3 linked regions of the Arabidopsis thaliana genome follow. Each later gene encodes a partner of the first gene's protein in a complex. Each region holds a gene or a part of one and is shown on either strand. Other genes may lie near its edges.

Region 1 (6,055 bases):
AGAGAGACAAAGGAAATTTTAGGTCACCTATAATAGTAGAAGACACTATTGAGAAAAGGGATTCAGACTTAAAGTTATTATTCGTAGAATTTAAGAGAGAATTGTTGTCTAGCTCTTTATCTTTTACTTTCTGGTTTTCCGTTCTGTACGTTCGGTTCTCTGTTCTGTATTTTCAGGTTTCTCATTCTGTACGTTCGGTTCTCCGTTTTGTCCTTTTGGTTCTCCATTATATATTTCCTGATTTTCCGTTATGTACTTTCGGTTCTCCGTTCTGCATTTTTGGTTTTTCGTTCTGTAATTTTATTGTTCTCCTTCATCGTTAATAAAAAATCTACTCCGTTCTCCTCAAACTCCTTAGTTACTTATTGTTAAAACCTCGGTACAAACATTACCAAGTTGTCCTCTGTCCAATTCCAACCTAGAAGAAACGTCAACATTGCATTTTTAAAGTTTGAATATGAGCCAAAAACAAAAACAAAAAAGGAGCAAAACTGACTTGGCGAGGTAGAAAATTTTTGTTCACTACCTCTTCTTCTATGATGTATCAACGAATCTGCTCTATACCTTCTCTTATTTGACAGGCTATATTTGAGTTTTGCTTCTATTCCAATAATGCTTAGCCATGATTTTCAACAATAAAATTACCATAAAAGTTTGTATATAAAAAAAAATCAAGAATCTCGGTCAAAACGATATTGTTGTAGTGAACTGAGCCATTTGTTTGGGAATCGTTTGAGATGGTAGTCAGCGGCAAAACGACGTTGTTCGATGTTCTTGATTTTTGAGTCGCTTTCAATCTTCTCGTGTGTGGGTGAGTTTATATAGCAGAATTATATCCAACAATGTATATTAGGAAAATTATCCTCTGAAAGGCATTCCTTTTTTTTTAGGGTACGTTTTACTGTTTTAGGCAGTTACTTCTAGGCAAGAGTTATGCCATTTAACGAAAAGTATTGCTTGGGATCCAAACAAGCACCATATTTAGGGATCCACCAAGATATCAATGTCCAATGTGGTCATGATTAACTCATGAATGACATCAAACATGATATGATCTAACTCATGAATGACATCAAGCTTTGTAAAGTTGATACTTCTTTTCCACAAGATATTTTTCTCTACTAGCGTTCAAGACTTCGAGCTTTGAAACTAAATGTAACAAGATGAGAGATTAACTAGTTTTCAATTTGGAACCATTCGTTTTTTGACATGATTCTGACAGAAGTAACGTTTGATATTGTCCAAATCAGGTGGTTCGTAAATGATGCTTTGTTTCTGTTTGAACATGCAAATTGTAACCTATGGACCCAAAGTGTCAAAAAGATTAATTTCAAAGTTCATTATAAACACATGTTACAAAAACAGATGTATGCATTGACATGCAAAAGGCCATTAAGTATAATTATATATCTAATTAGAGTACAAGTTTTTTCACATAATTGCCACATCCCTTGAATGACCTTAAAATATTGCATCTTTTATTTTTATAAGGAAAAAAATCTATTAGGATTTCAGGCTCAAAAGGGGTAGTAAAATGTAACAGAAAATTCATCCTCATCCTAGTAATTGGGAATTTGAGGTTTCAAACAACTTTGTTTCTCAGCTGTTGAAGTTGCTCCATAAATCTGTGAGGCTCACCTCTGCATCTGACTCGAACCAGTAATCTGCTTTTAACTGGCAATACACAACCAAAAATTCAACTTAATCGCAACATACGAAATGCGAGACTGATCCCAAAACCCATATCAGTGGATCTAAATACTTACATCAGTATCTGAAGTTACTATTTTCAAGGAAGGAGTGTCTACTCCAACTGGAGCTTTTTGATCAGACTCATTACCCAACTTGTCGCTTGTTTCCGCACTGTCTCCTTTGTATTTGCTGCGATCATGTTTGTTCCCAGTTATTAACACTGACTGACAAATATATAGATAAGACCAGACACAGAGAGTGGAATGTGTAACTAAGTACCTTAAAAGATAGACATCAATCGGCCCCATTCTACTCCTAATCACCATCCGGTACTGTTGCGGAAAACTCATCTATCGTGAACAAAAACAGATGCTTTACTTTGTGACACATTATATTACAACTGTACAGCAAATATGAAAGCATTAAAAACGCTCACCTCATCAGGATCTGGAACTTCGATGTAACTAGCTGTAGGAGCTTTAATTGCTAGTAATGTCTGGTTCTGTATAAGGACTACCAGTTTAGTATGTTAAATAACTGAGGAAAACATAAGATGATTTTCAAGAACTAGTTGGGGAGGACCTGAAACCGTGGGAGACTCGTTATATCTTCCTCCGTCATAAACATGTACCTGTTTATTTCCATCATTGATCTTAGCAACACTCTCGTGTATATACAAAAAGATGAAACTCAAATAAACTGACGAATACCTTCTACAGTAGTCATCTTCCTCCAAGGATCTGAGAGCTTCTTGTCGTTCCCTGGAGATACATAACATGATGATCTTCAAACCATGTGGGAAAGGAACAATGGATAAGTCTCCAAACATAATATAAGAACACAAGCAACCAACCTTATAAGATCATCCAACCTGCTTTCCTCAGATTGCATACTCTCTACTTCTGACTGAAAATACGTAGATATGTAACCGGTCAGTAATGGGGAATTTGAAAATAACTGTGTGAAATAAACTATAAGACAGAAAAATAATGAAATCATGAATTTGACAGATTATTTGCATAGCAGTAAGTTCTACGACAAAGAAAACACGTGAAAATGCTTGTCACAATGAACCTTAAGCCTAGAAATTTGATCTCCCAGGTCCTTTTGTCCAAGATTGTCAGCACCCCTGCATCAATAGCGCATACACAAAGTCAGACGAACTCAAGCTATATACGCTGCAATGTATCCAAGAAAGAAAAAATTTGTGTACTTACTTCCAGCGGATATGATTCTTTGTAGTTTTCTCTATCAATCCAATTCCTTCAAGGACATTTGTAATATCATATATCCTTCTTTTTTGTACCTGTTAAGAGGGATCGCAGGAACACGTAAGCACATAAGAGGAGATCCTAACAAGCTGATGAAGATAACTAGGGAGATATCAAACAGTTAAGGCAAGGGTTATAAAGGTGAGTGATCTTTTTAGTCCACGTTCTTAATTAGATCTTCTACGAGTTGAGACATACATTTTTAACTTAAATATTAAGATACATTTAGCATACCTCCAAAACAACTGCACAATAGTTAAGGTCAAGTGTTCCATCCTCAGCTTCCTGGATCAACTTCACGAATTTTTTTGTCAACAACCCTATCAAACAAAAGAGACACCGATACAATTACAGTTGTTATCTCCATACAAACATGAACCTTAGTAAACAGAACTATTAGTTACCTAAAGAACTGTCATAACGGCAGTTAATACTAGCTCCATTTAAGCCACCATTTTGCACTTCTGCACAAAAAAACTCATTCACAACAATGCTGAATACAAACAGATTCTTATTTTCAATACATATCACATTCTAAGAGCTAGCCAAAGAGATTGATCAGAAAAAGCAGATACCGCCATTCGCCATTCGTTTCCCAGCCTTTAACAGTTTAGTACCACCCTTTGACTTGTTGTATACACGTTTAACATTTTGAGGAGACGACTCTTGTTTCACTATTACTTTAGCTATATCTATGCTTTCTCCTCCAGACATGTTGGCAATAGATCCAAGCTGAATTCGATGATTCTTTCTACTCTTCTGCTGCAAATTAAGAAAAGATCAACTCAATAGCATTACAATCACCAAAACGAATCTAAATTCGCAAATTGAGATTAGAGAATTGAAAGCTAGAGATCCAATTTTGGATTAAGTTTCCCTTAATGAAACCAAACTTCATTCAATTTTTGTTTTCGCGAAATTTGGGAATCAGAATTAAACCTAGCTATCGCAAAATCAAGTTCGGAAATGGAATCAAAATCAAAGAAGGAATCTACGAGGACTTGAGTAAACGAAGAGACTCACAACTTTCTGAGTGATTTGAGAGTAAGAATCGTCCCAGTGAGGTGAAATTAGAGGAGACAGTTGTGAATTCGGAAGCGATTGAGAGACTGAGAAAGGTCGATTCGTTGAAGAAGGAGTTAGAGAAGAGTAACGAGGATCAGAGGAAGAGATAGATTGAAGTAATTCGAAGCGAAAAGGAGATCGGTGATGGTAAGAGAGAGTCGGATCTTCGCCTGAGTTTGATGTCGCGGCCATGTAACGGCGGTGTATCTCCGGTGGTAGAGAAGATGGGATTTAGAGTGATTTTTTGAAGCGATTTTGGAGAATCGTGATTTAGGTTTTTGTGGGGGAAGATGAAGAAGGAGAAGAGGGAAGATGGAGAAAAAGATGGAGAGAGAAGAGAGGAAACAGCGGGAAGAAGAGGAAGGGTAAAAGTGTCTTTTTGTTGTATTAAAAAGATTAATATAAGAAAGAAATATTGGAATTATGTTAAAAGAGCGGTGGGCGAAAGAAGTTGGAGAGAGTTTCGAATTCTGCCTAAGCCCCGCCTAACTTCTTCCGCTTATTATTTTACTCTTTTGACTATTTGTTGGGCTTGGTCTTGGGCTTGGTCTTGGGCTTGAATTGGGCTTAATAATGTTACGACGTTTACATATCTTCTAGAGCTTCATACTTTGTAGCTTTATGTTAATGATCGACATTCATGGTTCACGAATCTATAAATACGGAGTCTCGGCATTGCTAGATTGAGTTTACAGGGGAGTCCTAATCTCCGAGGTCCATCTGCACCAATAAACTCTATGAACGGCCCAAATTTGGTCCAGTTATCATACCAAAAAGTAGTTTAGAGTTCATGGTCTTTGCCAAAAGGTAGAAATTAGAATGAATTTCTAAACCCATGATTCATTTTGTTTCTCTGGTATCATTTTTCTAGCTTTTTTTCTTTAATATTTTCATAAAAACAATTGAAGAATGAAGAGTGCTTCTGCATAGTTGAGTACTTGAGTAAGTGATATCTAATTAATATCAAATTATGTGAAAATTATACCATCTTTTATGAAGTCGTACTATATATGTATATATGTTTTTTTGTCTATCTTAATATATGTTTATGGGTCTGATTGGTAACCAAAAGTTGTTAACTCTACTACAGGTATTAAGCTGTACAATAAACTAAGAGTAAAACTTTGTAACGCTTAGTACCGTTTTGTAAAGTGGTTACCAATCAAAACCTATATTAGGTTATAAGGAAGCGATGGGTGCATTGACGACAAACACACAAACTTGGTGTATAGCGCTACACAAGGGACTGTTTTTTTTTTCATTGTATTATTACCAATTGCATCATGTAACAAAAATAGGAATTCAAAATACTGAATTAATTAATCATGATTTTGAATAAACAAAACATATTAAAGGAATGTAAATATAATTGAGTTATTTCAAAGAGTTTTCGTATCGCATAAGTTTGATACCTTAACTTGTTTTCGTAAAACTGGACAAATATGACGAGAAAAAATCCCTTCATGATATCATGATGGCTTAAATCAACGTAATTTCCATTAGTTTAGATCTGAGAGACTGAAACATTGGTGTACCAAACAATGTAAAACACACATTTTCGTCCCTATGGCATGTGACAACTTTTTAGCCAAAAAAAAGAAAGAGTATTTTATTTAGAAAAATATTTGTGAAGACATATTATCCACATTTTTAAAATTTATTGTAGCCATGGATCAGAAAAATTATATTATATTTTAGTTTAACTGTGACAAACAAACAAAACAAGATTATCCATATAAATGTAAGTTCGTCTAGATATTCATACAGAAAAAGTTTGTCTAGTTGCATTTTTGTTGTCCTAAATTTCAAGTGCACTAACGCGAAATCTACTTCACTTGTCATGGTGCAGTAAGAAAAAAACAGTAAATAAAAAATGAAAAAAATATGGAAACACTAAAAAAGAATTTACAATAGTCGATAGCATTTTTATTTGTTTACTTTGGTTCCTTTTTTCTACTTTTATACAAAAGAAAAGGTGAGGAGGAATTTATAGCCTCTAAAAGTGATCTTACAAGTTATCTAACGTT
Region 2 (6,518 bases), on another chromosome or scaffold:
ATAATGTTGTTGATTAGCTTTTCAAACAATCTCTCTATTTTGATGATATTTTTCATGACTTTATTTTTTTTAACGAAAAGCGTAGAAAGTCATAAACCAATAACACAATAATTTAATTCATTAACAATCATAAATTCTTTTATTTTATTTGAAACAAACTTTTAATGAATTTTTATAAAAGTATGAATCCAATAACTCTAAATTTATGAAGATTTTAGATTACTTTTTACAAATATTAAACTATTAACACCTAACTTTAACAAACTTTTTAAAAGTCTTGATTAAATAACAACAGATTCTCCACAATATTTTAAATTACTAAAACTCTATTTAAATCGGTAACCAATAACACGTATGTAATTCGTTCTTTTTTTTTATTTTTCTTTATAATATGGCTAAAGTCGGTTTCGGATCGGGGTATTCCTTATTAGAAACATATTCTTGATAGGAAAAGGGTGTTGGATTTTTGCTATATAAACGTGACCTTTGGTGTTGTTTAGAGCTCACAACATTCTTCTATTGAATACAAAAAATCAAAAAGCTTTTCAACTTTTAAACAGAGATCGATTAGGGTATAGATTATTATGGTGGCGAATCCTGGCCGTGGAGACCGTAGGAGAGGCGTTGGAACAATGGATGACTTCGAGACGACCAAAGGGGTCGATCCCATCGAGAGTTTCGAAGATATGGGCCTTAAAGAGGATGTTCTTCGTGGTTTATACGAGTACGGTTACGAGAAGCCCTCGGCCATTCAGCAGAGGGCGATCATGCCAATTCTCCAAGGGCGAGATGTTATTGCTCAAGCTCAGTCCGGTACGGGAAAGACCTCTATGATTGCTCTCTCCGTCTGCCAAGTCGTTGACACTTTCGTCTAGAGAGTACGTTTTCTCTTCCTCATACCCTAATTCCAATTTTAACTTTTCTGCCAAGTTATCTCCAAATTTATTCTCATCTTATTTGTTGGTATTTCTGATTGCAGGGTTCAGGCCTTGATATTATCCCCAACAAGAGAGCTGGCTTTCACAAACAGATAAGACGCATGCATGCATTGGTGGGAAGAGCCTCGGAGAAGACATAAGGAAGCTGGAGCATGGTGTCCATGTTGTGTCCGGAACACCTGGTCGTGTCTATGACATGATAAAGAGGAGAAGTCTAGGCACCAGAGCTATTAACCTTTTGATTCTTGATGAATCAGATGAAATGCTGAGCAGAGGATTCAAGGAACAAATCTATGATGTTTACAGATATCTTCCACCTGATATTCAGGTTTGCTTGGTTTCTGCAACTCTACCTCACGAGATTTTGGAGATGACAAGCAAGTTTATGACGGATCCGGTGAAGATACTTGTGAAGCGTGATGAGTTGACTCTTGAGGGAATTAAAAACTTTTTTATTTCTGTAGAGAAAGAGGAGTGGAAATTTGAGACAATATGTGATCTTTACGACACACTTATCATCACTAAAGCTGTTATCTTCTGCAACACAAAACGAAAAGTGGACTATATTAGTGAGAAAATGAGGAGCAGCAACTTCACTGTCTCATCAATGCATGGGGACATGCCTCAGAAGGAGAGAGACGAGATCATGAATCAGTTTCGGACAGGTGAAAGTCGCGTTTTGATCACAACAGATATGTTTGCACGTGGGATTGATGTGGATCAAGTTTCTCTTGTCATCAATTATGATCTCCCTAACAACCGTGAGCTCTACATTCATCGTATTGGACGGTCTGGTCGTTTCGGACGTAAGGGTGTTGCAATCAACTTTGTTAAAATCGACGAGATCAAGATTCTCCGGGACATTGAGCAGTACTACAGTACTCAGATTGACGAGTTGCCAAAGAATATAGCTGATTTGATCTAAAACACTTTTGTCAATGTGAAACTATCTTATGATTTGTAAATTACCTACCCGTTTGAATAATGACATCATAAAGTCTATTTAGAAAAAAATTCAAAGCAGAGTGATATTGTTCACATCGGTGAACGAATGATTCAATGTTCAAATAATCAAAGACGCATATCAATCAAATAATCAAGAACATGCACCAATTTCTATGGCCCACTACTGAAGATCTTTTTTTTGTTATGGAAAAAAAAAACCTAGCTCAACTATGAGGTGTAAATTATTCTTTGGACTAAATACATCTAACATCTCTAACATTAACCCAAAAATAAAAATATAACCAATGAAACAACATTCAGCGTGTAATCATCTAGTCACTGTTTAGCCTAGGAGTTGAGAATCTCCATCAATCAACATATCTTTCTCAGATGATTTGGTTTCATCATCAGCTTTCTCTTCCTCTCTAGATATAAACTCAAGCTGTCTTGATTTGAAAACTGCTGTCCTTTTCGATCTTATCCGATATGGAGGAGATAGATTGTAAGCATTTGATCCATTATTTTGAATCTCTGAACTATCCTTACCATCATTCACCTTTTGATCAACCTCTTTAGCTTCATCTGTTTTCTTGGCGTTGTTGTTATCCTGAACAACAACCCTGGGTCGTCTTTTCCTGAATATGGATGGTGTGTTTGGGTAAGTTCTACCAGCTTCTCTCAGGTAAGATTCAGGACTTCTTGGAGTCGAACCGTTACTGTGCACATTCCTACACGGCGGTGGAGTGAAGAAGCTAACTGGTGATGCGCTTGGACTGCAACCACATTCATTCCCATACATACGCTGCGTATCCACTTCTGACGCCCTGTAATAGTCTATTTGAGGCGTGTAGTACAGATGATAACCATTATTTGCAGCTCCACCATTCTCTGGCAATGGCTCTGGGTTAGGCAACTGAGGAGAACGAGCATACTCATTAAGACTAGTCATTCGTGAAGCAGCTACTACTTCTTCGACAGGAACAGATGAGTTTATTTGGCCATTTCCGTCTTCAGCGAGATTGTTTACATCTGTAGTTACTGATGAGGTTTGAGCAACTGAACCAAAAACCCTTTTCTGAGCAGACGATGAACGTTTGGTTACACTATCAGGAACACCATTCCTTGTTGTTGTTGGTGGTGGTAACCTACCAGTCAATAAGTAGAATTCTGACTTCTTTTTCAATGAACTATTCCAATGGTTCTTTATTGCATTATCAGTCCTGCAGCAAGTTTTAAGTAAAACCTTCATTAAACCCAGAAGCTAACCCTTCTCTAAAGTCTCAACTCCAATGACGCATGCCAAGAAAAGTAAAAATACCTGCCGGGTAAGACCTTAGCAATTTCAGCCCATTTGTTTCCGTGGCTTCGATGAGCATTCATGAGAGCTACTTCTTCCTCTGTGGTCCAAGCATCCTTGTTAATATCAGGATTCAAATGGTTATGCCACCTGCATACATATCAAAACACATTAAAGCTTCCAATATAACTATAAGAAAAATGCTTGGCTCATATGAATTAACTACCTCTCTCGGCATTGCTTCCCAATTCGACCTGGTAAAGACTGTGCGATAATAGACCATTTCGCAGGCCCGTATTTTTCAACCAGTTCAACGATTTTCTCATCCTCCTGCAAAACAACAAACTTTAAGCCTTCGTATTTCACATAAAAAATGAAGCCAAATAATAAATAAAATCAGAAACAGAATCAACCTCATGTGTCCAAGGTCCCTTAATAAGGTCTGGATTTAGAACTTTCTGCCACCGATGCAGGCATTGAACTTCAGTTCTATCAGGGAAAGATTTCGCTGCAAAAATGAATACACCAATTCAAACAATACTAAATGCTTCACGGAACAAAACGGAAACAAACGTAAAAGAAAGTCTTTCTACTAGATGCTCAGCCTCAGATGATCAAGTTAACATACAAGAGTAACTCATAAAACTACAGAGACAAGAGTATGGAACTAATAGTTACTGTAAGCAAGTAGGCTCCAACTTTAATATTCGAACCACAAATCTATGGAGTATGTTGTAGCACTGACATTACTCTTGTTAATATGAGAACTAGAATCTAAAAAGAAGAAGAGACTTACCTATGTTCTTCCAGCTCTTGCCTTTAAACGTGTCAACTGCTTGTCTCAATGTCTCATCCTGCATTAAGTAAAACAACTCACATCTTGAATTTCGAACTACTGATCCAAAATTGATATTGGTCAAAAGCAATCACTAGTCAATACTCAATACTAACCTCTTCCGGAGTCCACCCACCTTTGGCTCGCCTTATAGGGCCACTCGTCCTCCTGCATACCAAACACTATCAACATCAATCTCTTGTAGAAAAGATGCAAATTCGCAAACGAGTGCTGCGGAGGAGATACAAAACAAGGAAGAAGAAGAAGGAGACGAACTAACCCGAGGTACCTATGAGTAGGTGATACTGTGGCAGGACTTGCAATTGTAGGTGACTTGTGGGAACTACCAGCACTGCCTTCAGATACAGAAGAGCACGAAGCAGGTGTTGATTGCTTATTTTCTACACACTGATCCTCAATTTTCACTTCACCTGTTTCTTCCTGAAGATCCATCATCTCAATGAAAGAAAAAAAAGATCCAGACTTTGATAAGAAACAGAGAAACCCTAAAAAAGCAATCATCGTAAAACACAAAGCAGACAGAACCCAGATCTCACAAATCACGAATTCAGTAAACAGCTCAACATTAACACCAACCACAGCAAAATTAGGGTTTATAACAATTGTAATCACAAAAATTTATAGTTTCAATAAAGTTAAATTCGTTTCGAATCAGAGCCAAACAACAAAGAACTCAATTTCACTAGAATCTGATCACAAGAACAAAACCCTTAAAAATTCAGATTCGATACACAAAAACTAACCTCATCTGGAGAAGAAGCGGCTGGATTAAAAGTGGAGCTCATCGAGATAGATAGATACACGAATTCACCAGCAGAAGAAGAAGAAAGAAGGCGAAAGGAACGTTAAAAAAAAAACCAAAACTTTATTCGAAAAATACTTTGCCCGTTGAACCAGAGAGAGAGGGATAGAGAGAGAAAGAGAAGACTTGATCGAAACAAAGCGAGAAAATAAAACATAAAAAAGGGTTCCCTAAGTTTTATCTCTCTCTCTCTCACTATTATAACGAATACTTCTTCTGCTGACGTCACACCGTTACTTGCCGTTCTTTTTACCTTAAGTAACCTATTTTCTCCAAACCGAACTGATATTTATCCATAAGCACGAGTTGAATGTAATGCAATCTAATTCTGGTTAAAGCTGGTTCAGTAAAATAGACCAATTTAACGCCGTCGTTATCTTTTGGAAAGTGGAAAAGTCGTCAAGGTTAGAAGGTACACTAACGGACGTTAACGGTAGAGAGTTAACCTCAGAAACAGAAGTTTGAACCTCAAACGGCACTCGTAGCTGATCCGTTGACCACTGAACACGTATACGATGCCAAGCTTTGCAGGTGACTCTGGACCGTCGGATTTGGTTTGAGATGAACTTTATGATTCTTCTTAAATACTATCCTGTAAAACCAAGCTAGATGTAAGATCATCCGGACCGACACATTTTGTTTAAAATTGAATTTTCTGGTATTTGATTTTGGGAATTTTCATAAAAAGTCATCACTTTTGTTTCAGTTATATCTTTATAGAAAAATAAATTTAAAATACATTTAGCTCATCAAATAGGTGAGATAAGTTCAGTGATTGTTAGTTGTTATCTGATAGAAATTAGAATTATCATAAACAAGGAAAATAAAATTATCAAAATTAAATACATATAGATTTTATTAAATTAATTAAGTTAGTGGTTTTTCATTTCTTAGTCAGTACCACTTGAATTGTAAAAATAAATAGATCATTTGTGTGAACTTTTTTTTCTTTTAAATCTTAAATATTTGTTACTGATAATAAAGAATAAATTTAGTTGGGGTTCTCCTATATTAATGCAAATAAAATCAACTAATCCGGCAAAACAAAAGAAATTAAAACTCTTGTGTTTCACAATACATATCATCAATACAATCCAAAATCATTACCATCCTCTTCTTCTTCCTCGTCCTCTTCATAGAATTTCTCGCCGTTTTGAAAATCTGTCTTCATGTCGTATGATTCTACATTGCCTTCTTCTTCATCCTCTTCATCTTCATCTTCATTTTCACCATTCTCATGTTCATTACTCTTCATTTCCTTGTTCTCTTCCTTCTTCTTCTCAATGTCTGTCTCTGTTTTCGACCTCTTGGGTGATTTCTCAGGTGCCTGAAAGAAGAAAAGAGAAGCAAAATTGTAAAGACCTCAAAAAGTGATGAGAATTGAGGATACAAGAAGAGGTAATCAAAAACTTACGGATGTATCAAATAGCGACTCCAAAACATCGTAGTTGATCACCGAACTAAGTCTCTGTAAGAGTCAACACTCAAAATCAGGAAAAAGGAAGAAACACAGACTCTAAAGTTTCTTCAATGCTAATAATTTCGACAGCCATGTTGTTGACTATGTACTTCCAGGCCAGGTTTTTAACAGATGATACATGGCATACTCGGTTTATCTTTTTTTGCATATTCGTTTTCAAGTATCAAGGTATCAAAGAAGCTGACATTCTAACCTTTTTA
Region 3 (9,377 bases), on another chromosome or scaffold:
TTATGAAACCTGCAACTTTTGAAGCTTCTGCGAAATCAACATCTCCAACCAACCGGTATCCTGATTTCTTGCTCGGGTCGCTGACTGCATTAGTTCCAACATCAATTACTGCAGCCCCTGGCTTTATCCAGTTGCCCTTAATCTGAAATGTCAAAACGATAGTATATTTGAATTGTAAACTATTCACATTGATCTACAAGAGGTAGACTAAATTATCTTCTAAATGACAATGAAAATGTATGAAAATCACCATGTGGGCTTGTCCGCATGCAGCAATAACAATGTCAGCTTCCCGTATGATAGCCTCAGGATCCTTGGTGTGAGAATGTACAGTTGTGACAGTAGCATCAGCCTTGAGCAAAAGAAGTGAAACGGGCAAACCAACAATGTTACTCCGACCTACAACAACTGCTCGTTGCCCCTTTATCTTTACGCCGCTTCTAGCTAGGAGTTCCAAACATCCCTGCACACACAGAAAATCACCTCATAGTTGATACAGAAGAAAAACAGAACACTGAGATTTCTCGCTTGAAAGAGACTGAAGTCTATATGCAAAAAAAGGAGAAGTACCTTTGGGGTGCAAGGAAGGAAGAGGGGTTCTCTGCCTTTCATGGCTAGCTTACCAATATTCAAAGGATGGAAGCCATCGACATCTTTATCAATGCTGATTGCACCCAATATATGCTCCTCATTAATATGTTTCGGCAATGGGAGTTGAACTAATATGCCTGCAAATCAAACACCAAAGCTTATATAAGCACAGGAGAGCAAGGAATGTTTGCTTTATACCAAAACGAAAGACTTGCATAGACATTAAAGTTTCTATCTATCCTTAATAGTTTAGACTAATGATAACCGAGAAGACATACAAAATCAAGTATTATTTACCGCCACAACTAACCATGGACATCCGGATTTGAATTTAGTTCATGAACTTTGCTAATAAGATCAGCTTCAGAAACTTCCTCTGGTAGGCCCACGTCAAATGACTTAATCCCAACCTCAGCGCACGCTTTCCTCTTCGTATTCACATAGGTCTGTGAATCCTTTCGGCTCCCAACAATAACTACAGCTAGTCCTGGGACCTGCATGAAGGTAAAATCAGATTCGATTGAATCTCGTACATTCTTGAAACTATATAAAGGGGTCCAACTGAAGCAACTGAACAAACGCACTAAACCATTTATTACACATACTCTCGTTCCTTCTATTTTATTACAATGATATCAAACATTATAAGCTTAGCACACACTATCTGTATAAATAAGATAGTATGCCACTTGAAGTAATGCAGGCAGCTCAAAAATCCAGCGAAACAAAATAACAGTGATCTAACTAAAATGGAGCTTACATTTGACCCTGTTAAGCATTTTCAATAGAAGGTTGTGATCATAGCTGCTTAAATCTAGTCATTTTAAACCATAAAGCTAAAAGAGAGTAAATTTTCAATAGTGCTATCATCTTATAAAAGAACGGAGAATTATAAGGAGAGACATGTCAAGATTAGGACACTGATTCATAAGATGCGTTTACCTTGCCGTGTTTCTCAGATAGACCGCGAACTTCCTCGGCGATCTCTGATCTGATGGTATGAGCAATCGCCTTGCCGTCGATTATCTTCGCCGTGTGATCAGATGATGACGCCATGAGCCACTAGGAATTTGCCTCGTGTCGGAAATATCTAATTCTCTCTCTGGATCCACTCACACTCGAAGATGACGAAGAAGACTTAATCTGAATCCATCCGCGGATAGGACACTCATACTTCTGCAACCAAACGTTCTACAATGGCAAATATGTAATTTCCCGCGTGACCTAAACTAGAAACGGCATCGTATTAAGGGTGGGCCCAATCATAACTCACACGAGGCTTTGTCGCGGTCACGAAAACCCAGACGGCGTTAATGGCCCACTCCGTTTGTTTCGACCCCGCCGTGACGGCGAATCTTTCCCTCTCAGCGTTTCACGCAACAGTAAGTAAGTTTTGGCGGTAAAATTGGGTCACAGATGGGTACGTGTCGATTTAATAGTGGTTGAAAGCGCGCGAATATAATTGTATACGTATGTGTATGTATTCTCCGTGTTGTTTTTCCCGCGCGAGATATATCCTTTTTTAGGGTTTGCCGCATAATCAGACCCCATTCTAGAGAGAGAAGAGGGAAGTCAGGTGAAGATAGAGAGAGACACTGAGAGGAGGGAAAATTTGTAGGGTTTTCGGAGATCTCTGTGATTCCTCTGAATTTGTCGAATTTTTTGGAGGAGGCGTTAGAAGTCGGGCTTCTTAAAAATCAGATCTTCTGCTCAGGCTTTAATCGGCGACGTCTGGTATTGGGATCTGTGACACAAAAAGGTAAGATCTTTCTCTATTGCCTATCCTTTGATTTGAAATCTTATCCTCTAGGTGGTTTATCTGAAATTTTCTATTGATATTTCGCTATTCGATTGTAAGTTGGTGAGAGAATTCTCCAAAAACAAAAAAGAGAAAAACTTTGAATGAATATTTAAGATAACATCTGGGTAAAATTTTTCCGGAGTGGTGGGTTTTAGATTATGCCCCAATTTCTCTTCTTTTTTTCCCCCAAATTTTGTCTTTCTGCCATGTTTTGGGAAATTGGGAGTTTGTTTTCTCATGTCTGTTAGTGTGTTCTTCCGAATGGGTTGGGCATGGTTCCTATTGAATTTCAGTGTGATTAAATTAACAAATCTCTTTGCTTGAAAAGTCCCTTTTTCTTCGTCTTCAGTTAGCAGTTTAATTGGAAGTAAAATTAGCTTGATTTTGCATGTTTTCAGCTGCGTTGGAGACTATGGAAGAAGTTCAGCCTCCAGTGACCCCGCCCATTGAACCAAATGGGAAAAGAAGCGAAGCCTCTCTCTTGGACATATGCGAGGTTTACTCTTCTCTTTGCTGATCTAGTTGCATTTGTTTAGTTGAAGATACCATTTGAGTTCTCTCGGAAATTTTGAGGACTAGCTCTAATCCCTGTAGTTGATTTCTTATTGCAGAAAGTTCTGTCTCTTGATGGGAGCACTTGCGATGAAGCTTTGAAGTTGTTTACAGAAACCAAACGAATTTTGTCAGCAAGCATGTCTAACATTGGAAGTGGAACGGTGAAATACATTTTTCCTCTAACTTCTCTTTTATCAGTTAACTGTGGTTTCATTATGACTAAATCCTTTTTTCTTCTTCTTATTAGCGGGAAGAAGTAGAGAGGTTCTGGTTTGCGTTTATTCTCTATTCAGTGAAGAGGCTTAGTGTGAGAAAAGAAGCGGATGGTCTGTCAGTGTCTGGTGATAATGAGTTTAATCTATGTCAGATACTGAGGGCTCTGAAGCTAAAGTAAGTAGTGTTCAATTCTTCCTTCCTTGTCATTCTTAAATTCATTTGTAGTGACGATTTTCCTCTTTTCTGTTTATAGTATTGTGGATTTTTTTAAAGAGTTACCTCAGTTTGTGGTCAAGGCTGGATCTGTACTGGGTGAACTTTACGGCGCAGACTGGGAGAACAGACTTCAGGTTTTGACTAACATCTTTTAAATATACTTCTACTTCTATTATATCATTGTTAAATATGCTTCTATTAACTAATTTTTACTTACTAGGCAAAGGAGGTGCAGGCTAACTTTGTGCATCTTAGCCTTCTAAGCAAGTGAGTTTAGCTCCCTTCCTATTTTACATTTATCTTTGTTTTGTGTAAGAATAGTTATTGACATAGATTTCATATTTTGGACCTGCAACTTAGAAGCAAATTTTCTTCCTATGCAATAATCAGAATATGGGCTTGCAATATTCCTTCAATTTTAAATTAATTAAGATTTAGAGTTACAGATTTCTGGTTTTCATGTGATTATATTCTGTGAATTGTTTTAAGGACATGTTAAAGTATGATGTTTTTGGTACCTTTCCTTGGTAACAGATACTACAAACGTGGGTTCCGGGAATTCTTTTTGACATATGATGCAAACGCAGAAAAGAACTCAGCAAACTCTTCTACCTATTTGCTGGATAGTTATCGTTTTGGATGGCTACTCTTTTTGGCACTCCGAAACCATGCGTTTAGTCGATTTAAGGACCTCGTGACATGCTCAAATGGCGTAGTTTCTATATTGGTTAGTGACTACCTGTGGAGCTCTCCCTAATCTTTCATTCATTTTAGTCTTGCTGTACATTATTACTTGAAAGATGCTTCGTTTAATATAACGCAATTGAAGTATAGGCTAACTCCTTTTCATGTTATCAGGCTATTTTGATCATACATGTTCCTTGTCGGTTTAGAAATTTCAGCATCCAAGATTCTTCTCGCTTTGGTGAGTGTTTATCTTTTCTTCTATCCCGATAACCATGGCACCATAGAATGTTTATCATCTATTTTCATTTATGTGATGAATCTCAGTTAAGAAAGGTGACAAAGGTGTAGACTTGGTTGCATCACTTTGCAAGATATATGACGCCTCAGAAGATGAGTTGAGGATAGTAATTGACAAGGCAAATAATTTGGTAGAAACCATACTGAAGAAAAAGCCATCTCCAGCATCTGAGTGCCAAACTGACAAGCTAGATAATATTGACCCAGGTTGGTCTAAAATCATTTTCCTTCTTCAATTAAAGAATCATGTGAGTTCATTGAACAGTTGCCTGATTGTTCTTCGAATCTATATGGTGTTTTACTGCAGATGGCTTGACCTACTTTGAGGATTTACTGGAAGAGACGTCCATCTCAACTAGCTTAATTACACTTGAAAAGGATTACTATGATGGTAAAGGCGAACTTGATGAGAGGGTATTCATCAATGAAGAGGATAGCTTACTTGGATCTGGAAGCTTATCTGCAGGAGCTGTTAATATTACTGGTGTTAAGAGGAAAATTGATGCTTTGAGCTCACCTGCAAGGACATTTATAAGCCCACTTTCTCCTCATAAGTCGCCTGCTGCTAAGACAAATGGTATTAGCGGTGCTACCAAGTTGGCAGCAACACCAGTGAGCACAGCAATGACAACTGCCAAGTGGCTCAGGACTGTCATATCCCCGCTTCTGCCAAAACCTTCTCCTGGGTTGGAACATTTCCTTAAATCATGTGATAGGGATATAACAAATGACGTCACACGAAGAGCACACATAATATTGGAAGCTATTTTCCCAAATAGTTCCCTTGGTGCCCAATGTGGAGGTGGAAGTTTGCAAGCTGTTGACCTGATGGATGACATATGGGCAGAGCAGCGCAGATTAGAAGCTTGTAAGTTATACTACAGAGTTCTTGAGGCAATGTGTAAAGCAGAAGCTCAGATTTTGCATGCAAATAATCTGAACTCTTTATTGACAAATGAGAGGTTCCATAGATGCATGCTTGCTTGCTCAGCTGAATTGGTACTGGCTACCCACAAAACAATTACAATGTTGTTCCCAGCTGTTCTGGAGAGGACTGGGATCACAGCCTTTGATCTCAGCAAGGTAATTGAGAGTTTCATACGACATGAAGATTCTCTGCCTAGAGAGTTGAGACGACATCTGAATTCACTGGAGGAACGGCTTCTAGAGAGTATGGTATGGGAGAAAGGCTCTTCAATGTACAATTCTCTGATTGTTGCCAGGCCATCGCTTGCATTGGAGATAAATCAGCTCGGTTTACTAGCTGAACCAATGCCATCTCTGGATGCAATCGCAGCACTTATTAATTTCTCTGACGGAGCAAATCATGCATCATCTGTACAAAAGCATGAAACTTGTCCAGGTAGTTTTATTTGTTTCTGAATTAAAGCAGTTTTCCAACCTGTTGTTAATGGTATGATTTTCTTACCAAAAATTGTCAAATTTGCTGCCATATAGGACAAAATGGGGGGATTAGATCGCCCAAAAGATTATGTACTGATTACCGCAGCATTCTAGTTGAACGCAATTCCTTTACATCACCAGTAAAGGATCGTCTGTTGGCCTTAGGCAACGTTAAATCCAAGATGCTGCCACCTCCGTTGCAGTCTGCATTTGCCAGGTACATTTTGAGTAACTATGAGTAGAAATGGAGAGTTAGTTTACCTATCTAGTTGTCCCTGTACTTGTTAAGTAACCTCTTCGGATTTATGTCTACAGCCCAACACGGCCCAACCCAGGAGGTGGAGGAGAAACTTGTGCAGAAACTGGAATCAATATTTTCTTCACAAAGGTAGGTCTGTGAGATCTTTGGATCTACTACTAATCGTTTGGTTAGATGATGTACTACAAAACACGGTATTGATTCTTCATTTTCGGCTGGGAATTGTGTTAAATGTGGTGGCTCTTCCCAGATTAATAAATTGGCTGCTGTAAGAATCAATGGAATGGTGGAAAGACTACAACTTTCACAGCAAATAAGGGAGAGTGTGTATTGTTTCTTCCAACATGTACTTGCTCAGCGGACTTCTCTTTTATTCAGTCGACACATTGACCAGATCATTCTCTGTTGCTTCTACGGAGTGGCCAAGGTGAGTAGTGTGATTCAAAGGGTTTAACTATATGTCATCTGGTTTACAATGGCTTCTCTTACACTTACACTTTTTCCATGAATCACCTTGTAGATATCCCAAATGAGCCTGACTTTCAGGGAAATCATATACAACTACCGGAAGCAACCACAGTGTAAACCATTAGTTTTCCGCAGCGTTTATGTGGATGCGTTACAATGTCGCCGTCAAGGGGTATATATACACTCTTAACCTTATGCTGAAAAGTTTCTTTACTCGGTGGAGAAGACTAAATTTGTGACAATGACTTGAACAGAGAATAGGGCCAGATCATGTTGACATCATCACATTCTACAATGAAATATTTATTCCTGCCGTAAAGCCGCTGCTGGTGGAGCTAGGTCCTGTAAGAAACGACCGGGCTGTGGAAGCCAATAATAAGCCTGAAGGTAGTTAAGAAAGGCCAGATACTTGTTAGATGTAAGCTTTGTCTATCAATTTAGTCCCTAAGTTAAATGATCGTCTTATTTTGGATTCACAGGTCAATGTCCCGGATCGCCAAAGGTGTCTGTGTTTCCAAGTGTTCCAGACATGTCCCCTAAAAAAGTATCTGCAGTGCACAATGTTTATGTTTCTCCTCTTCGGGGATCAAAGGTAAAGAAGATCATAGTGCTTAACTCTTTATCATGATATGACTAAGTCTTGAGGAGGAGGTAGGTGACAAGATTGTTTGGTTACCTTCCATGTGTTGTGTGTTTGCAGATGGATGCTCTTATTTCACACAGTACAAAGAGTTACTATGCTTGTGTTGGAGAGAGTACACATGCTTACCAGAGCCCTTCAAAGGACCTATCTGCCATCAACAACCGCTTGAACAAGTAAGTAGAAAAATCACGTCTCTCATCAGCTTCTTCCATAAAACCAATCACTGACCCAATCCAATTTCATCTGGTGTCACAGCAGCAGCAGCAACCGCAAGAGGACGCTAAACTTTGACGCAGAAGCAGGGATGGTCAGCGATTCCATGGTAGCAAATAGCCTTAACCTCCAAAACCAAAATCAAAACCAAAATGGAAGCGATGCATCGTCCTCAGGTGGTGCCGCACCCCTTAAAACCGAGCCAACAGATTCATAGATATCTCTCTCTACTTGCTACACCAACTTCTCTTCAGTTATAGCATCTGTAAATCCTTATGTTGCAGAGTTTGCTTTTATGTTTAGCTTTCTAGTTTATAGTGATCACCTCAGGCTATGAGCGGATGGATCCCTTTATTGTTTCTTTTTTCTTTTTTTATCTTAGTTAAGTCAGTCTTAATAAGCATTAATAAATGTCTTTTTCTTGTTCACTCTTTCTAACTGTGTTCGGTGTCCCATCTACTAAATTTATTTTCCACTTTAAAAAAAAACAATTTGTGACATTTACTTAACTTGGAACATATACAGTACAGTTAAGCAATTAACTATAACCAACAAATTGTCTGAACAATTGTCTGTCTTACCTTTTTAGCTCTCTATAAATTTACGCCGCAAAACAACACTTTATGTCGATTTCAGAATAACTTACTACTCCAGCATATTTCTCAAAACTTTCTCAATAGGTTAAATTTAAAACAACCTTGCAACTTATGAAAAAATCCTCAGCAAATTTGCCAGAAAAGAGTGTTACAATGGCTACAATCACATTCATAGATTAAATATCTGAACCGGCCAGTGACGCTTCTGACCCTTTGAGCTCAGCCCAGTAGCCTCTAACGAGATGTCTATGCTGCGATGCTCATGTGCTCGTGCAACACTCACACGCAGATGAATGCTTGAGGCGGGACACTCTTCGGTTCCGATGGCTTCTCTTCTGTCATTACCAGACAGAACCGAGGCCGGTGCCACTGAGATTGGTTCTTGAAAAGTTAAGATTGTCTGAGCCCAGTGTGTTGGGGGAGTGTAGGGTGATGTGGATAGTACGGTTGGGTTTTCCTTACAGAACCTACTGGTGAAACCTGTGTCAAACCACAACACAACACCATGGCACAACCTAGTTTTTGCTTCTGACTCAGTGGGCTCCAGCGTTGCCGTTGCTGTGAAATCTACTTCATCCGGTTTCATGGTAGCCAGGTCAAATGTCTAGAAACAAAGAAATTCAAGGAAATTAATTTCAAAGTTTTTCCTGGCGAAACCAAATAATGTGTGATCTTTCAAACCTGAAGAAGGGTAGGCTGTGTCACTAAATCACGCTCCGCTATAACGTCAACAATGGGAAGTCGAGTAGTGTCGTCATGTATCTCCTTCCCAATTGAAGACATGTCAAAGCCATAGACATCTTCCCAGAAAGGAAGACTTGTTGCACCTTTTCCAAATCCCGCAACAAACTGATCCAAGGAGAAAACAAGGGATAAAACTCATCAAGATGATTTCATGAAAAAGACAACATTTGAAGGGCAAAAGATAAGCTTTACCATAGTGGCCGTGTCAGGGAGGATTGCACCTCCAGGTTTCAACCACCGATCTCTTGCATAGAGCACAGAACTGAGCATTGACTCATATAAAAGGCAGTATCCCATCCATTCGCTGACTAACACATCAACACTATGAGGCTGAATCTGTATCGATTTATCTAGCTCTTCTACCATTGAGTGTGCAACTTCAAGTACCCCATTATGCTCGTTATCATTGAATACTTTGTTATCCTTCGCAATCTGCTAGAAACCAGGTAAATAATTGATATCTATGAGGAAAAAAGAAATAATGAAAATCTTGTAACAAGTAGAAAAAAAGGTAACCTTAGTTGCAACTTTGGCCATCTTCTCACTAGCTTCAACTGCAACTACCCTTGAAGCCCCAGCTTTAGCAGCAAAAAGACTGCAGACAAAGGATAAATGGTTATTGCATGCAAACTAAAAATAAGAAGTACCAAAAGTTTGACTTAAACAATCAAAGGATCTGCATATAGG

The links.
Region 2: ATE2F2 (region 1) and MYB3R-3 share a complex: the UniProt entries of both Arabidopsis thaliana proteins name them as parts of the DREAM-like complex.
Region 3: ATE2F2 (region 1) and RBR1 share a complex: the UniProt entries of both Arabidopsis thaliana proteins name them as parts of the DREAM-like complex.

Annotation. Positions count from the first base shown.
Region 1 is NC_003070.9:17,633,102-17,639,156, reverse strand, and holds ATE2F2 (winged-helix DNA-binding transcription factor family protein), read right to left. Parts: upstream 4,461-6,055; 5' UTR 4,221-4,460; coding exon 3,987-4,220; intron 3,726-3,986; coding exon 3,539-3,725; intron 3,428-3,538; coding exon 3,368-3,427; intron 3,284-3,367; coding exon 3,198-3,283; intron 2,999-3,197; coding exon 2,910-2,998; intron 2,822-2,909; coding exon 2,767-2,821; intron 2,599-2,766; coding exon 2,546-2,598; intron 2,454-2,545; coding exon 2,403-2,453; intron 2,324-2,402; coding exon 2,275-2,323; intron 2,195-2,274; coding exon 2,129-2,194; intron 2,043-2,128; coding exon 1,972-2,042; intron 1,882-1,971; coding exon 1,767-1,881; intron 1,675-1,766; coding exon 1,600-1,674; 3' UTR 1,348-1,599; downstream 1-1,347. UniProt on the Arabidopsis thaliana protein: Involved in transcriptional repression. May act by repressing E2F-regulated genes in mature differentiated cells, but is not an antagonist of E2FA.
Region 2 is NC_003074.8:2,877,837-2,884,354, reverse strand, and holds MYB3R-3 (myb domain protein 3r-3), read right to left. Parts: upstream 5,003-6,518; 5' UTR 4,822-5,002; coding exon of another isoform or gene 4,780-4,821; 5' UTR 4,538-4,779; coding exon 4,296-4,537; intron 4,184-4,295; coding exon 4,132-4,183; intron 4,035-4,131; coding exon 3,977-4,034; intron 3,689-3,976; coding exon 3,594-3,688; intron 3,511-3,593; coding exon 3,407-3,510; intron 3,331-3,406; coding exon 3,202-3,330; intron 3,104-3,201; coding exon 2,227-3,103; 3' UTR 2,000-2,226; downstream 1-1,999. Other genes in the region: AT3G09360 (Cyclin/Brf1-like TBP-binding protein), read right to left, coding at 5,923-6,165, 6,253-6,306, 6,512-6,518. UniProt on the Arabidopsis thaliana protein: Transcription factor that binds 5'-AACGG-3' motifs in gene promoters. Transcription repressor that regulates organ growth.
Region 3 is NC_003074.8:3,911,861-3,921,237, reverse strand, and holds RBR1 (retinoblastoma-related 1), read left to right. Parts: upstream 1-1,878; 5' UTR 1,879-2,350; intron 2,351-2,790; 5' UTR 2,791-2,804; coding exon 2,805-2,888; intron 2,889-3,003; coding exon 3,004-3,108; intron 3,109-3,194; coding exon 3,195-3,337; intron 3,338-3,416; coding exon 3,417-3,513; intron 3,514-3,599; coding exon 3,600-3,646; intron 3,647-3,913; coding exon 3,914-4,106; intron 4,107-4,237; coding exon 4,238-4,304; intron 4,305-4,390; coding exon 4,391-4,570; intron 4,571-4,670; coding exon 4,671-5,726; intron 5,727-5,821; coding exon 5,822-5,984; intron 5,985-6,082; coding exon 6,083-6,155; intron 6,156-6,276; coding exon 6,277-6,453; intron 6,454-6,546; coding exon 6,547-6,666; intron 6,667-6,748; coding exon 6,749-6,881; intron 6,882-6,973; coding exon 6,974-7,086; intron 7,087-7,194; coding exon 7,195-7,310; intron 7,311-7,392; coding exon 7,393-7,567; 3' UTR 7,568-7,889; downstream 7,890-9,377. Other genes in the region: AT3G12290 (Amino acid dehydrogenase family protein), read right to left, coding at 1-142, 251-463, 571-728, 902-1,085, 1,534-1,647; PRMT3 (protein arginine methyltransferase 3), read right to left, coding at 8,116-8,550, 8,628-8,795, 8,883-9,122, 9,207-9,285. UniProt on the Arabidopsis thaliana protein: Key regulator of entry into cell division. Acts as a transcription repressor of E2F target genes, whose activity is required for progress from the G1 to the S phase of the cell cycle.